Linked DNA regions of Daphnia pulex. The protein of the gene in region 2 purifies or fractionates together with the protein of the main gene of each other region. This does not show direct contact. Links are inferred from orthologs where the notes say so. Each region holds a gene or a part of one and is shown on either strand. Other genes may lie near its edges.

Region 1 (3,580 bases), on a different chromosome or scaffold from region 2:
TTCTTTCTCCTGAAAACCAATGGCGGGGCCAGGAGCTTGGTCAGGAGCACCAATGGGGTCAGGATAACGAAGAAAGTAGAAACGATGCCCAGGACGAGAAAAACGACCACCTCGGCTGTGGATTTCTGCGACATGACGTCGAACCATTTTCGTTCCAAACTGATTCCTGTGCGGAGCAATTTCGACAAATATGTCGTTTGGTGTGTCATCTTCTTCACTTTCTCAGAGTCAGGAGTTGGCGAGCCGAATGTTCTCTTGACGCGAACTGCTGTTGAATTTTTCTGAAAAATGTTAAATGGGAAAGTCACAATTTGAGTGGAGGTTTTTGAACTTGGATCAATGACCTTCTACGAACCAAACAGCAATCGGCCGTTTCAAATGTTACCTCGATTAACTCGGTGTCGTCTTCGCAAACAGTCCATGTCACGAACAAAATTAAAATGATTAAAAGTCGCATAGTGGGAACGTAGAGACTGGTTCAAACTGTACACAACCGAAGGTGCAGGTCAAATGAGGTTGTGAGTGAGGTTGGTGTGGTCCTGCTAAAGGTGGTGCAAGGTCGTTACTCCCAAGATAATTGCACTCGCCAAATTACCTTCCGAGTGAGTAACCTGGGGTTAAGGGATTTATAATAGATTCAGGGAAACGAACCATTAAAGTGCGATTCCAAGAAAATCTTAAACGTTCACAGCAAATCAATAATTAAATGTAACCTGTGATAACTTACTAAAGGTAAAAATATGAGTTGAATGGGTTATCAGCAAATTTTTTTATATTTCCTTCGACCTCACACGACTGAAAAATCAGCATAAAATTAAGAGAAAGAAAAGGAAACTGAATCAACACTCTCCTCCCTTCCGCGAGTGTAAAAACTAGACATGGATAGATTTGCTCGTTAAATAACGCGCACTGCATAGAAGTGCGGGAACGAAACAATTCAAATGGTATGGGAGATGGAGAATTATGGAGTTTATCGCTGAGAAAGACTACGGATATTTTCAAACCGTTGCTAGATGTGAAGCAAGAAGAAACAGAGAAAAAGGCATTTATGTACAGTGACGCTCATAATCTCTTCAATGTTCTCTTTTTGTCCTTGGCCACTGGCTTTTTCTTATCCGCCAAAACTGTGCGATCAGTAGCAGCTTTTTTCGATGCTGTAGGGCCTTCCGTTGGGTTGTTGTCTTCATTCAAGTGGGCATCCGCGTTCGACTTCAATCAAGGAATGAAAATGAAATAAATACAGTAAGTTGGTAAATTTGGTTTTGTTTACCTGATTTTGACTAACTTTGGCATGAATTTCAGTCATCATTTTTGCTCTTTGAAAGTAATCTTCATAATGCTCTAATAAGAGCTTGCCAGCCTCTTCATTCAAAGCCGACTCTGCATTGGGGACAATTAGCAAACATTTGATAGTCTAAAAAAGAGATTTTAGGTTAGTTGTGAAATAGAATTGAACTCTTAAATAGTCGCACCAGAAATATATGTTTGATACCCAGATCAGGCTTCCAATCTTTCTTCAAGGTGTTGACACAAATTTCGCCTTGTTGCGAGACATTGGGATGAAATATTTTGGTTAAAAAGAAACCTTTCGGAGGACCAGAGGGGAAATCTTTTCCTAGCACTAATTTTACTCTAAAATGTCCACTAGCATATGGGGTACCAGCTGATTGTGGGGGAAATGATTTAAAATGATTTAATTTTAGGCTTTATTTTTAAATGAGAATTACTCTTACCAGGTCCATCAATAATGGCTTGAATATCAGATATGTCTTCTTCATTGAGAATAACTTTGATGCCTTCAGGTGGATCACTAATAAGCTGTTGAAGTTCCTTGCAAATTTGGCGACTAACTTGAGGTGCCAAGTTTTCAAACGAAACCTAGATTAAACGGTTCAAAATGGGCGCAACTTTAAAGTCTAAAATTGCAAGCTGTAACTCAATTTTCTAAAAACTTACTGAAGCCATGAGGGTTAAAAACAAAAGAGCAGAAAAGTGATATGTTCACGAAACAGAAAACGGAAGAGTAAATTTGAAAAGAATTTTGATACGACCGTTAGAACGGTTAGAATTTGGACAATATCAGGAAATTTTGGCCTCAGAGTTCAGAGACAACAAGAATACAAGATGCACACCGTTGCCGAAATGGGTACCAATTTAAAAAAAACGTATTCGAAAAATTTATTTATTTTTTTTATGATTTTAAAATAAAAACATTTTCTTTCGACATGAATTGGTTTTTATTCGTGAAAAATCTGCGTTGAATTTCAAGTAATTTGCAACTCGCGAGTTTCACATTCTATTTTCAAGGTCCTTGTCAACGTTGCGTGTGAGTCACGAACCTTTCTCACATGCCATAATATTTATTCTATTTTTTTATACGTGCCGTCTCGGGCTCTTGGTTTCTTAAAACTGTCTAATATAATAGGTTTCAAAATGCCTGATATCCTTCTTGTATCCGACCAGGTGACTATTTTCGTTTGTTTGCAGCACACTAAACCCATTGTTTATGTTTTTCTGCCCAATTTCAGGAAAAGAGGATAAAATCTCTAAAACGGCGTATTGAAACCTGGCGTGTTTTTCTCGTTGCCTTGTATTCTGTCCTCATATGGACTGAATCCTGGTACCCTGCACCTATTGTTGGAACCATTAGCACTGTATTTCTGTAGGTTCTATATTTTTAAAAATTTTTCCTGTGACATGATAAAGTTTCTGTTCGTTTATTAGGATGTACTGGTATTGGAATCCTCCAATCATCACCTCCGTATCTCTATTTTTTCTGATACTCAGTTTGATTGATTACAGTGTTCCTAGAATATGTAGCTGTATATCACAACCTCATCAATGGACAGCATTGAATGGTATACATTCTTCATCTCATTTTCTTACTTGATCAAAAGGTAACTTGATCATTTCTCCATAGAGAAAAAGTTTGAGATAATCTGTGAAACTCTGGTGAAAACTCAAGATAAAATTTACAACCAGATGACATATTTTATTGATCTCAAAAGGACAAATCCTAAAATGGTGATTTCTTTAATTGATACAGTGCATAGATTTTGATATTTTTAAATGTAACCTGTTGTTATGTTTTATCTTCCAGTATTTCTTGTCACTCTTTTCATTCTGCAGTCTTTCAGCTTGGATTGGTTATACAGTCAACAATTGGCTCATTTGTTTTATTCTTGGTATGTAATATTATTAATTAAAACTATTTAGTATTCTGAATTGTAATCAGCATTTTGATTGTTATAGTCACACTCATCTCATTGTATCCTGGCGTCAAACACAACGAAGTACTATCAAAATTTCTGTCGATATTCCTACACCGAGTCACCAATGGCATCCGATCGTATACAGAAAAGGATTCCGTTAAAAATAAGTAAATGGGAACTTGATGAGTCTCAAAGTCAGAGTTTGTGTCTCTACTATCTTAGGTTTTTAAATCACGATTGGGGCTTTTTTTTAATGGTATTTTGGCATACTAGTCTTTGATTTCTGTGCTTGAATGTTCAATCAAGATAATTCTCTTTGTTCGTTTTGTTTCCTAGTTTTCTTAAGTTCAAACTGGAGCAACGAACTT
Region 2 (4,341 bases):
AAACAAACTCCAAACTTAAAATAATTGTTTTGTCTACTTACTCGATACTTGTCCTGTTTCCTAGCGTTTCGTGCTTTATAATTTGTCGATCACCGACAGTTTGTTTCATACTCATTTGAATTACTGGTTCAGGTTCCAGCAGTACAGGCTCATTAGTGGACAAATTACAATCATCAGGAGTCGAGTTGTCGCTAACCTGTTCTAAACGTCGTTTACGCATCCATTGGTTTTTATATACATCCAAAGGCCTGCCACAATATCGTACCTACATCATTTAAAAATCTGAACTAAATTTACTGAACTTGATAACGAGAATTTAAACATATTTTATGCTTACTGATGACCAACCACAACCATATTTCTGTTCGGGATTAACAATTTTTTTGCAGCGCAAGGCCCACGCCGAGGGTGAACTAAAGACTTCTTGAACTTCAGCAGAAAAAATTTTTCCATCTGCCAGTAAGTCCCCATTAAATTTTTGTCCCTAAATAAATTCACATAGGGAATAGAAGTTTTAAACTTGGAAGATAAGAAATCTAAAAGAAATATCGTATAATGTTTACCATGTACTCTAGTGACATAGCACCTTCTTTTGGTTGAAGGATGTTATCTTCAAGTAACATTTGCAATGTGACTCCTCTACCAGTAAATCCACCAGCAGTTTTGGACTTTTTCTCATTCAGTTCTTCATCTTCATTGCCATCCATGTTATCCTGTAATTTTTGTCATAAAATTGTTATTCATTGGAATTTTAATAGCACAAAGTATTATTAATTAATTACCTCTCCTTCCATTTCAGGATCTAATGTTGCATTGTGGGTTTCAGACATGTTACATTGCTCATTTGTGTGTTCAACACTAACTGATGTGATCTTTTGTTGTTCTTGAGGATCTGCTTGATCACTAATACTTGAGTCTTCTGATGCTTCAATCATGCTTATGCCCTGTATTAAGAACACAGCTTTAATATTGCTAAACAAAAGGTTTACAACTAAAAAGAATTAAATTTGAAAAATATTTGTTTATTTGAAGTAGATTAATTGAAAAAAGGACTATTAGAAGAACTAAAAAACACTTAACTAAAAATTCATATTTTAGAATTACGCGCCTTTTTTATTAATTGTTATTAAAAAAACGTCTGATTTACCTATTCCAGTACCATAATTACAATTACAACCACGTTATTTCGAACAATCTAGGCCAAATGACAGTAGTTAATACATTGCAACACTTAAATTTACCTGAATAAATAACTTGTTGACAATTTCGAAAGCAAATTGTCCAAGTGCGGTTTAATAATAAGATTGATAAAACTGACCGTTGAAATGTCAAAAAATGTCAAAACTGAAGCATCACGATTTGAATCAATTCATCGAATATCGTAGATTGATCGATACTTAGTGAAGGCGATACAGCGATACTCGAAACGGTTTGGTTAAAAAGAGGAAGGGGCAAAAAAAACTTTGTGTTACATTAAAACGTAAGCTCCGACGGCAATTTGGTGGAATTATTTTGACTTAAATTGATTTCCGTCCATGGGAATTCAAACTTGATTGTATATCTTCATAGATTTCATATGTTAACTCATTACTAGTCAACATGTTGGTACAAGAACCTGTCCAGGTTAGTAACATGTTAATCAATGATGTTTAGTGATCTAAAAATTGCATATATTTAGGGTGTACAATGAAGGGGGTTTCTTTGTATGCCAGTTTTTGGTTCATTTTCAATAATGGTTAAATTTTTCTAAAATGCAGGCGGCTATCTGGCATTGTCTTAATCACTACAACTATTGGAATGCTACTTTTCTTGCTGAGAAACTTCAGGATGAAAGTATTATGTGTATACTTAATTTGTAAAGGTTATTTTTCCATAAATCTTATGTTTCTTTCAGTTAATAATGAGGAAAGCTTGTATCTTCTGGCCACTTGCTACTATCGGTCAGGAAAAGCGAATCAAGCAAGAAGTTTACTGCAATCAAAAGGAACTCAGTCGCCACAATGTCAATATCTGTTAGCCAAATGTTGTTTAGATCTGAATAAGTATGTGGTTATTCTCATTGAAAATAATTAAAATCTAAAGAATGTGTTTTTTTTTAGGCTTGCTGAAGCAGAAGGAACATTGATGGGTGGAAATATTTTCAAACAAAAATCTTTGGATGATGTTGTGACTGAATTTGGAGATGCTGCTGCTTTTGCCCTAGTTTTGTTGGGTCAAGTTTACATGCAGACAGAACGAAAGTTCAAAGCTATAGAAGTACTCAACAGAGCTCTTAAGCTTAATCCATTCCTGTGGGCTGCTTTTGAGCTTCTTTGTCGGCTTGGTGAAAAACCAGATGCAGAAGATGTCTTTCAGTTAGAGGGATTGGATAATTTCTCTCATTGTCATGGAACAAACCCAATAGCTTCATTGATCACTGCTCAGATCAATCAATCACATGATGCAACCACTAAAGTACATCCTCATGAACCAATGTCTGTTGACCAAATCTCCACTCCTATACTTCAAGTCCCTGCAGCTGATGTTATAGTAAACACAAGGTAAACATGGCATATTATTTAAAACACAAATTATTTTGAGATTTAATCACCATTTCTTTACACAACTTGTGTATTTTACTATATTTCTAGCACTCCCCTACCATGTGTGCCTCTTATTCATCACAATATACCTAATTTGACACCAGATGATCAAATGATTCCCTCTATACCGTTGACGAGTACCATGGCTCCAACACGTTCCAGAGCACGGTCGTTCCGGCTTCGATCAGTCTTTAAAGCCGGTCAAGCGCTGTCTCCCATGTCCCCCAAGTATAATTTAAGTTTCCATTCACTTGATGACACTTTATTTAATTTACGTAATTTAGTTTTGGCATCATACCTTTGGATATGTCTTCAGCAAGCGATGCTTCTCAAAGTTCGATGGTCTATTTGTGTCCCTCGCTAGCCCCACCGGTCTCTGAAACAAAAGAAGCAAAGATAATGCCTAAACGGGTATGATTTTTTTCCTTTTAAACAAATAATATAGAGTGTTTCATAATCTCTCCAAATGCTTATGCTGTTTTTAGTTGGGTGGTCGTCGTGAAGCAGCTAGCACTGCTCCAAGCGCGCCTTCACGTATGGGAGTTTTCTGCCAATCCGGAAATACAGCTACACCGACATTGTCTTCACCCCCAGCCGCTAACGTGAGGAGAAGTACACGACTTTACAGGTTTCAGTAACATTTGTGTATATATAAATTCGTATATTATTAATTAACGTATTCTATTTTGATCACAGTTCGAACAATTCCGTTAAGGAGAATAACAAAAGTAGCTCTCGTTTTGTTGTGCCCAAGTTGCCACTGAAGCGTAGCAAATCCAAACTTACTAAAGGTGATACCCCGGAAAGCGGATTAGCACCTATTAGCGATTTTCCAGAGCTAGTAGGAAAAATGGATAGAGAGGATGAGAAACAAGCTACCCTACCTACTCATTTAACTTCGGTGCAGACTCCACCATCAAATTTGATTCAAGAGGCAGTCCAAATGCAAAAGCAGTCAGCTGAAGGACTTATGTCTCTTCTTCGGATTGTAGGCAAAGCATTTTCACACCTGACTTCATATGAGTCTCGTCAAGCGATTGACACAATAGAATGGCTCTCCGCACGCCACAAAAGATCAAGCTGGGTCCTCTCTCTTATGGCTAAAGCTTACTTTGAACTGGCAGACTACAAGCAAGCTACTAGGTTAGTTTTACTTTTATCTTGTGTAACAGTTTGACAGGAAATTGACAGATATTTTTTAATTATTAAGGTTGTTTCAAGAAGTGCGTGAAATGGAGCCATATCGCACTGATCTGATGGAGTATTATAGTACTGCTCTCTGGCATCTGCAGCAAGAAGTGTCACTCTCGGCATTAGCACAAGACATGCTGGAACAAGACAAAATGTCAGCTGCGACTTGGTGTTGTGCCGGAAATTGCTTGGATTTGCAGAAAGATCGCGAACAAGCTCTAAAGTTTTTCCAACGAGCAATCCAAGTTGATCCTAAATTTGCTTATGCATACACTCTTTTGGGTCATCAGTATCTTGCCCTCGAAGAAACGGAGAAAGCCATGGATTGCTTTAAAAATGCTGTGAGAGTTGATCCTATTCATTATAACGGATGGTAAACCTTCTTTAACAAAGCAGCATTAATTGATTTGTTCTAACTTTTTGTTTGTGAAAAGGTACGGTATGGGAATAATTTACTACAAACAAGAGCGCTATTCGATGGCAGAATTTTACTTCAAGAAGGCACTGGATATCAATAAAAACAGTCCAGTGCTAAAATGCCACGTCGCCATTGTGGAACATGCGCTTC
Region 3 (4,350 bases), on a different chromosome or scaffold from region 2:
TCTCCTGCCGAAAAGTCGTCCAATGTCAAAAGTCGCCAGTTCAATGCGAACGTGCCGACAGGAGCCACTGGGCTGAGCGGTGGAAGCGCGGCCGGAATGCAAAGTCCTCTTCAGCAATTGGCCCTCCTGCAGCAAATGACCAACTCCAACAACAACCCCATGTCCATAGCCTCCGAACTGGAGGCACAGAAACAGGAAAACTTCCATTTGCAGAACCAAAAACAACAGCAGGGTCTATTAGCTTCGGTTCACATCAAGCAAGACCAGATTGCAACAGCACAGGCAGCCATAACAAGTATGTATGCGTGTGACACACAAATGACAGTCGAATTCCGTTCACGCCATTAAGAACCGTTTGATCAGTTGATTGACCTCTATCTTGTTTTTCCTTCATTCTTGCATTTATAGATCAGAGTAATATGGTGAACGGCCACCAACCTGGTGCTGTGATGCAAGCGGCGCTCAATCCACAGTTGCAGCAACTTCAACAGAACCTGGAAGCGCAAAAGCAGCAGCTCTTGGTCCAGCAGCAGGTACTCCAGCAGCAGGTGAAACCGGAAGCTCAGCAATTTAACAAACAACAAATCCTGATGGCCCAGCTTCTGAACGAGCCTCCGGCTAAGCGTCCTCAGCTTTGGGAACAAATCAAGCAGACGGTGACGAAACAGGAAGCTGCCATGATGGTCAATCCGTTGGCCCAGCAAGGACAGTTGGGCTTCTCTCAGATGAGCCTGGCGCAGCAGCCGAGCAGAAGCCAACAGGAATTGCAACGATACCAGACGTTGATTCAACTCTTGGGTTTGGCCAATCTGGCCTCTTCAAGCAACCCCAACCGCCAAGGATACTACACCGATCCCAATAGATCAATGGTCGCCGGTGGTCTACCTTATTCATCGTTCGGGAGCAATGCGGCAATGAGCGTTCAGGCCGTACAAATGATGCATCAGCAGCAAATGCTCTTGCTTCAACGACAGCAACAAATGATGATGCTTCGACAGCAAATGGCGATGATGAATCCGTTCATGTTCTAACATCGTCCTCCCTTTAATAACTTTATTCTTATATTTATGTTCCCACACTTTGCTCCCTAAATTAAAGCGTCCACTTAATTTTATTTGCATCTCTCTTTCCTGTTTCTCGTCGAGGAAGGAATAAAATAAATATACATTGTTTTACGTTAGTAAAATATTGAATGTTGTTACTGAATGTTGAATTTGATTAGATAATAATTTAATTTTTTAAATAATTTTAACGAAATTAGTAGATTCAGCATTCAGTACGCTGGTGCGCCGGTAGGCCTACGCTGTTTGTTGTCTCTCCGTACCGATAATCCCGCACTTTACGCGTTTCCAACCCTTCTCTGCACTTTACCACTTTATATTGTGATTTTCTTATTGGTGACTGCTGATCAAGTTTGTGTTATAGTTTTTTTCTTCTCTTTGAGTATATATATTACTTTCAGAGTTAGTCATTATGATTCTTCACGAGCAAATTCAAATGTTGTTTGATAACAAACTTTATACAAATATTGTTGCTCTGGTAACTATATAGTTTCTTGTGCTTTCCGTGAATGTTATCGATAGCTAAATGTCACCATTGTATTGCAATGCTATAAATATTAACAAATGTTTTAGTTATATCATTTATATTTTTGTTTGGGCAGTAGTATCTACTCCTACAACTCATATTATTCCATTTTGAATAAGTGCTACTGGTGACTTTTACCTTGAGTATGACAATAGGAATGAGTTCAGTGTAGATTTCATTCTATTACCATAGACTACGAAGTAGTGTAGTCTATGCTAATTACCAATCTAATGAATATCTGGAATTTTTCTACAGGCTCCAATGGTTCTTTCAGCTACTGATAACAATCCTGAGCTTTTACCTCCTGCAAGCATTGCCCAAACAATGGTGTACCTTGCAGATTCATTCCTTGAACAAAAGGAATATGGAAAAGCAGAAGTTTATTACAGAAAAGCCCTAGATCTGAGAAAAACCCTTTCTAAACAAAGGGGGATGGGAAATAGTGCTGCCAAAGAGCTTTCAGCTGAAACAGGTTTGATGTTCTGTTTTAAAGTATAAACAAGTTTTTCCTAAATAAGTTTGAAATAACAATTCTAGAGATTCGCTATCAAATGCACATATGCCACCTTGCTTTAAAACAGTCAGTGCAAGCACTTCTTGTCCTTCAAGGGATCCCAGCCAAACTACGATCAGTTAGGGTTAATATGGCTTTAGGCAAGTTGTATGTTATGAATGGGCTTGAACGCCCAGCCATTTCTGCTTTTAAAGAGGTTATTCGTGAATGTCCTTTGGCCCTAGAAGCTATATTGGCTTTGATTAAACTTGGAGTTAGTTATGTTGAACTTGTTCGTTTAATTTTTAATGGAAACCCATCAAATAACTTAGATTGGTGAGTAGGCTCATATGTATAAAATGTAAATCTTTGTTGAATAATGTTTATTTTCGTTTTTTTCCCTTAAATTCTGAAGGGTTGTTCAGTGGATCAAAGGACAGTGCCATCTTCATTCTTGTGAATATTTGAGTGCTTCTACCATTTTTTGCCATTTGCAAGATGCATCATTGCTCAAAGATGATGTAACAAATTTGGTATCACAAGGAACAACCCTTTTCTTGGCCGGGGATGGAGCGGGCGCCCTTCTACCGCTTCAACGAGTATGTTAAATGATTTGAGAAAAAAAATATCTGGTGCTCATCTCATATTTGCGTTTGTTCAGGCGCATTCCCTCGATCCTTTGTCGCTAAAAGGAATGGATATTTTAGCAGTCATTTTAGCGAATGAAAAGAAAAGTGTTGAACTTGAAGCACTAGCTCTCAAGCTAATCTCTGTTTCTGATTCTAGCTTCGAATCGTGGGTAAAATTATTTGTTTTTTATTTCTAATTACCCTTGTTCCTGTATTAATTTTAATTTATCAAATTAGGTGGCCATGGGATACCATTATCTTTTGTCACGCAAACTAACTCGCGCTCTGTACCTTGCGCATAAAGTAAGATAGCAATGCCGATGTGGTCTTATTACAAATAGTTTTAAAAACCGCGCAAACATATTTCTCATAGGCTTGCACATGTTGCATTCCAACCCCTGGGATAGAGCCCCTAATCCTTAAGGGTACGATTTTACAAGAGCTTAAAAAATGGCCTGAAGCTATCACACATTTTAGGTAAGTCCTGTGATGTTTAAAAAAAAATTATTGAAATATATTTTTTAATTATTGAGATATTTTTTAAATTTTAGTAATATTTAAAAAAAAATTATAGTAATATTAACAACAAGTTTAACATGATAATAGGGAAGGATTACAGACAGCTCCGCACCGATTCGAAATCTATCGTGGTATAGTTCACTGTTATCTAGCGCTTCAGCGAAGTCGAGAAGCCATGAATATAGCTGCTAGCTCTCTTCATCATATTGGTCATACACCTCGCACTTTCACGGTTAGCATTCTTTACAGTGTTTCGTGTTAATCATTCGTTTAAAGCAGATTTTTATCAAATGAGCCATTAATTAAATTGCTGACTGCTCTTTGCAGCTCTACGCATCCGTCCTGTTGAAGGATCCTGTTACAACCGCAAAGGGCAAGGTTTTCCTTGAAAGAGCTTTGAACATGGGTAAAATTAACATGAATAGTTTCCGGTGTAAAAAAAAAATTGTATAACGTTTTCCGTTGTAGATCCTCGATACACTCCAGCTGTATTCCTTTTAATCGACTCGTATGAGCAGGTGAGTAGCTGTACAATCCTACAGAACCACTCACTGAACTACCATTGACTACAATTATTTTCAGGCTGGCCAGAGATCAAAAGCCATTGAACTGCTTACTAAGCAAATAAATCAGCAACCTACAAACAGGTTACATCATATTTTGGGAGACCTATTCATAAAAAATGGAGATATGGATAAAGCATTGGAACAGTACAATTCTGCACTAATGTACGAGAATCTTTATCACTTGATTTTACTTTAACTTGCATATTCACATACTATGCATGTGTTTAATTTTTTTCTTTGTAATTTTAGGCTTGAACCGAATAACGTAAAAACCATTGAGGCCATCAATAGGCTTGAAAACGCATTGGTAGCTAAACTAGAAAATCATCTGGATTTGGAAGCTGATGATCTTCCTGATTCTGATGAAGAGGTAAATTCAATTTAAAGTGAAAAACAAAATATATGCATATGTTAAAAGCTATCGTTTTCAAGCCAACCATTGAAGAAGTCGACATCGATCCTATGGGTGGAATGTGGGCCGACATGAACTTGGATCAATTTCGGTAGTTTCATGATTTATTTGTACAATCACTCAAAAATACATTTTCTACAAAAA

What was found. The genes of interacting proteins can lie anywhere in the genome.
Region 1: the proteins of cell division cycle protein 27 homolog (region 2) and ubiquitin-conjugating enzyme E2 S-like purify together in Homo sapiens (affinity purification with western blotting; 4 studies listed by BioGRID, with this or other methods). This does not show direct contact. The link is inferred for Daphnia pulex from reciprocal best matches to the Homo sapiens genes CDC27 and UBE2S.
Region 3: the proteins of cell division cycle protein 27 homolog (region 2) and anaphase-promoting complex subunit 7-like purify together in Homo sapiens (affinity purification with western blotting; 23 studies listed by BioGRID and IntAct, with this or other methods). This does not show direct contact. The link is inferred for Daphnia pulex from reciprocal best matches to the Homo sapiens genes CDC27 and ANAPC7.

What each region holds. Positions count from the first base shown.
Region 1 is NC_060023.1:8,631,750-8,635,329, forward strand, and holds ubiquitin-conjugating enzyme E2 S-like, read right to left. Parts: upstream 2,128-3,580; 5' UTR 1,966-2,127; coding exon 1,957-1,965; intron 1,879-1,956; coding exon 1,734-1,878; intron 1,664-1,733; coding exon 1,473-1,663; intron 1,415-1,472; coding exon 1,271-1,414; intron 1,210-1,270; coding exon 1,063-1,209; 3' UTR 755-1,062; downstream 1-754. Other genes in the region: uncharacterized protein LOC124197881, read right to left, coding at 1-281, 386-457; ADP-ribosylation factor-like protein 6-interacting protein 1, read left to right, coding at 2,434-2,463, 2,529-2,662, 2,725-2,858, 2,921-3,024, 3,101-3,185, 3,253-3,383. UniProt on the Homo sapiens protein: Accepts ubiquitin from the E1 complex and catalyzes its covalent attachment to other proteins. Catalyzes 'Lys-11'-linked polyubiquitination.
Region 2 is NC_060018.1:4,689,302-4,693,642, reverse strand, and holds the start of cell division cycle protein 27 homolog, read left to right. Parts: upstream 1-1,400; 5' UTR 1,401-1,599; coding exon 1,600-1,623; intron 1,624-1,757; coding exon 1,758-1,833; intron 1,834-1,894; coding exon 1,895-2,042; intron 2,043-2,099; coding exon 2,100-2,540; intron 2,541-2,630; coding exon 2,631-2,810; intron 2,811-2,866; coding exon 2,867-2,993; intron 2,994-3,067; coding exon 3,068-3,210; intron 3,211-3,278; coding exon 3,279-3,725; intron 3,726-3,792; coding exon 3,793-4,146; intron 4,147-4,207; coding exon 4,208-4,341. Other genes in the region: MPN domain-containing protein-like, read right to left, coding at 42-265, 338-484, 564-713, 783-935. UniProt on the Homo sapiens protein: Component of the anaphase promoting complex/cyclosome (APC/C), a cell cycle-regulated E3 ubiquitin ligase that controls progression through mitosis and the G1 phase of the cell cycle.
Region 3 is NC_060017.1:4,025,436-4,029,785, forward strand, and holds the start of anaphase-promoting complex subunit 7-like, read left to right. Parts: upstream 1-1,296; 5' UTR 1,297-1,473; coding exon 1,474-1,539; intron 1,540-1,842; coding exon 1,843-2,059; intron 2,060-2,124; coding exon 2,125-2,416; intron 2,417-2,495; coding exon 2,496-2,679; intron 2,680-2,741; coding exon 2,742-2,879; intron 2,880-2,946; coding exon 2,947-3,012; intron 3,013-3,082; coding exon 3,083-3,186; intron 3,187-3,315; coding exon 3,316-3,460; intron 3,461-3,555; coding exon 3,556-3,634; intron 3,635-3,696; coding exon 3,697-3,746; intron 3,747-3,810; coding exon 3,811-3,956; intron 3,957-4,043; coding exon 4,044-4,164; intron 4,165-4,226; coding exon 4,227-4,301; 3' UTR 4,302-4,350. Other genes in the region: myb-like protein K, read left to right, coding at 1-295, 409-1,031. UniProt on the Homo sapiens protein: Component of the anaphase promoting complex/cyclosome (APC/C), a cell cycle-regulated E3 ubiquitin ligase that controls progression through mitosis and the G1 phase of the cell cycle.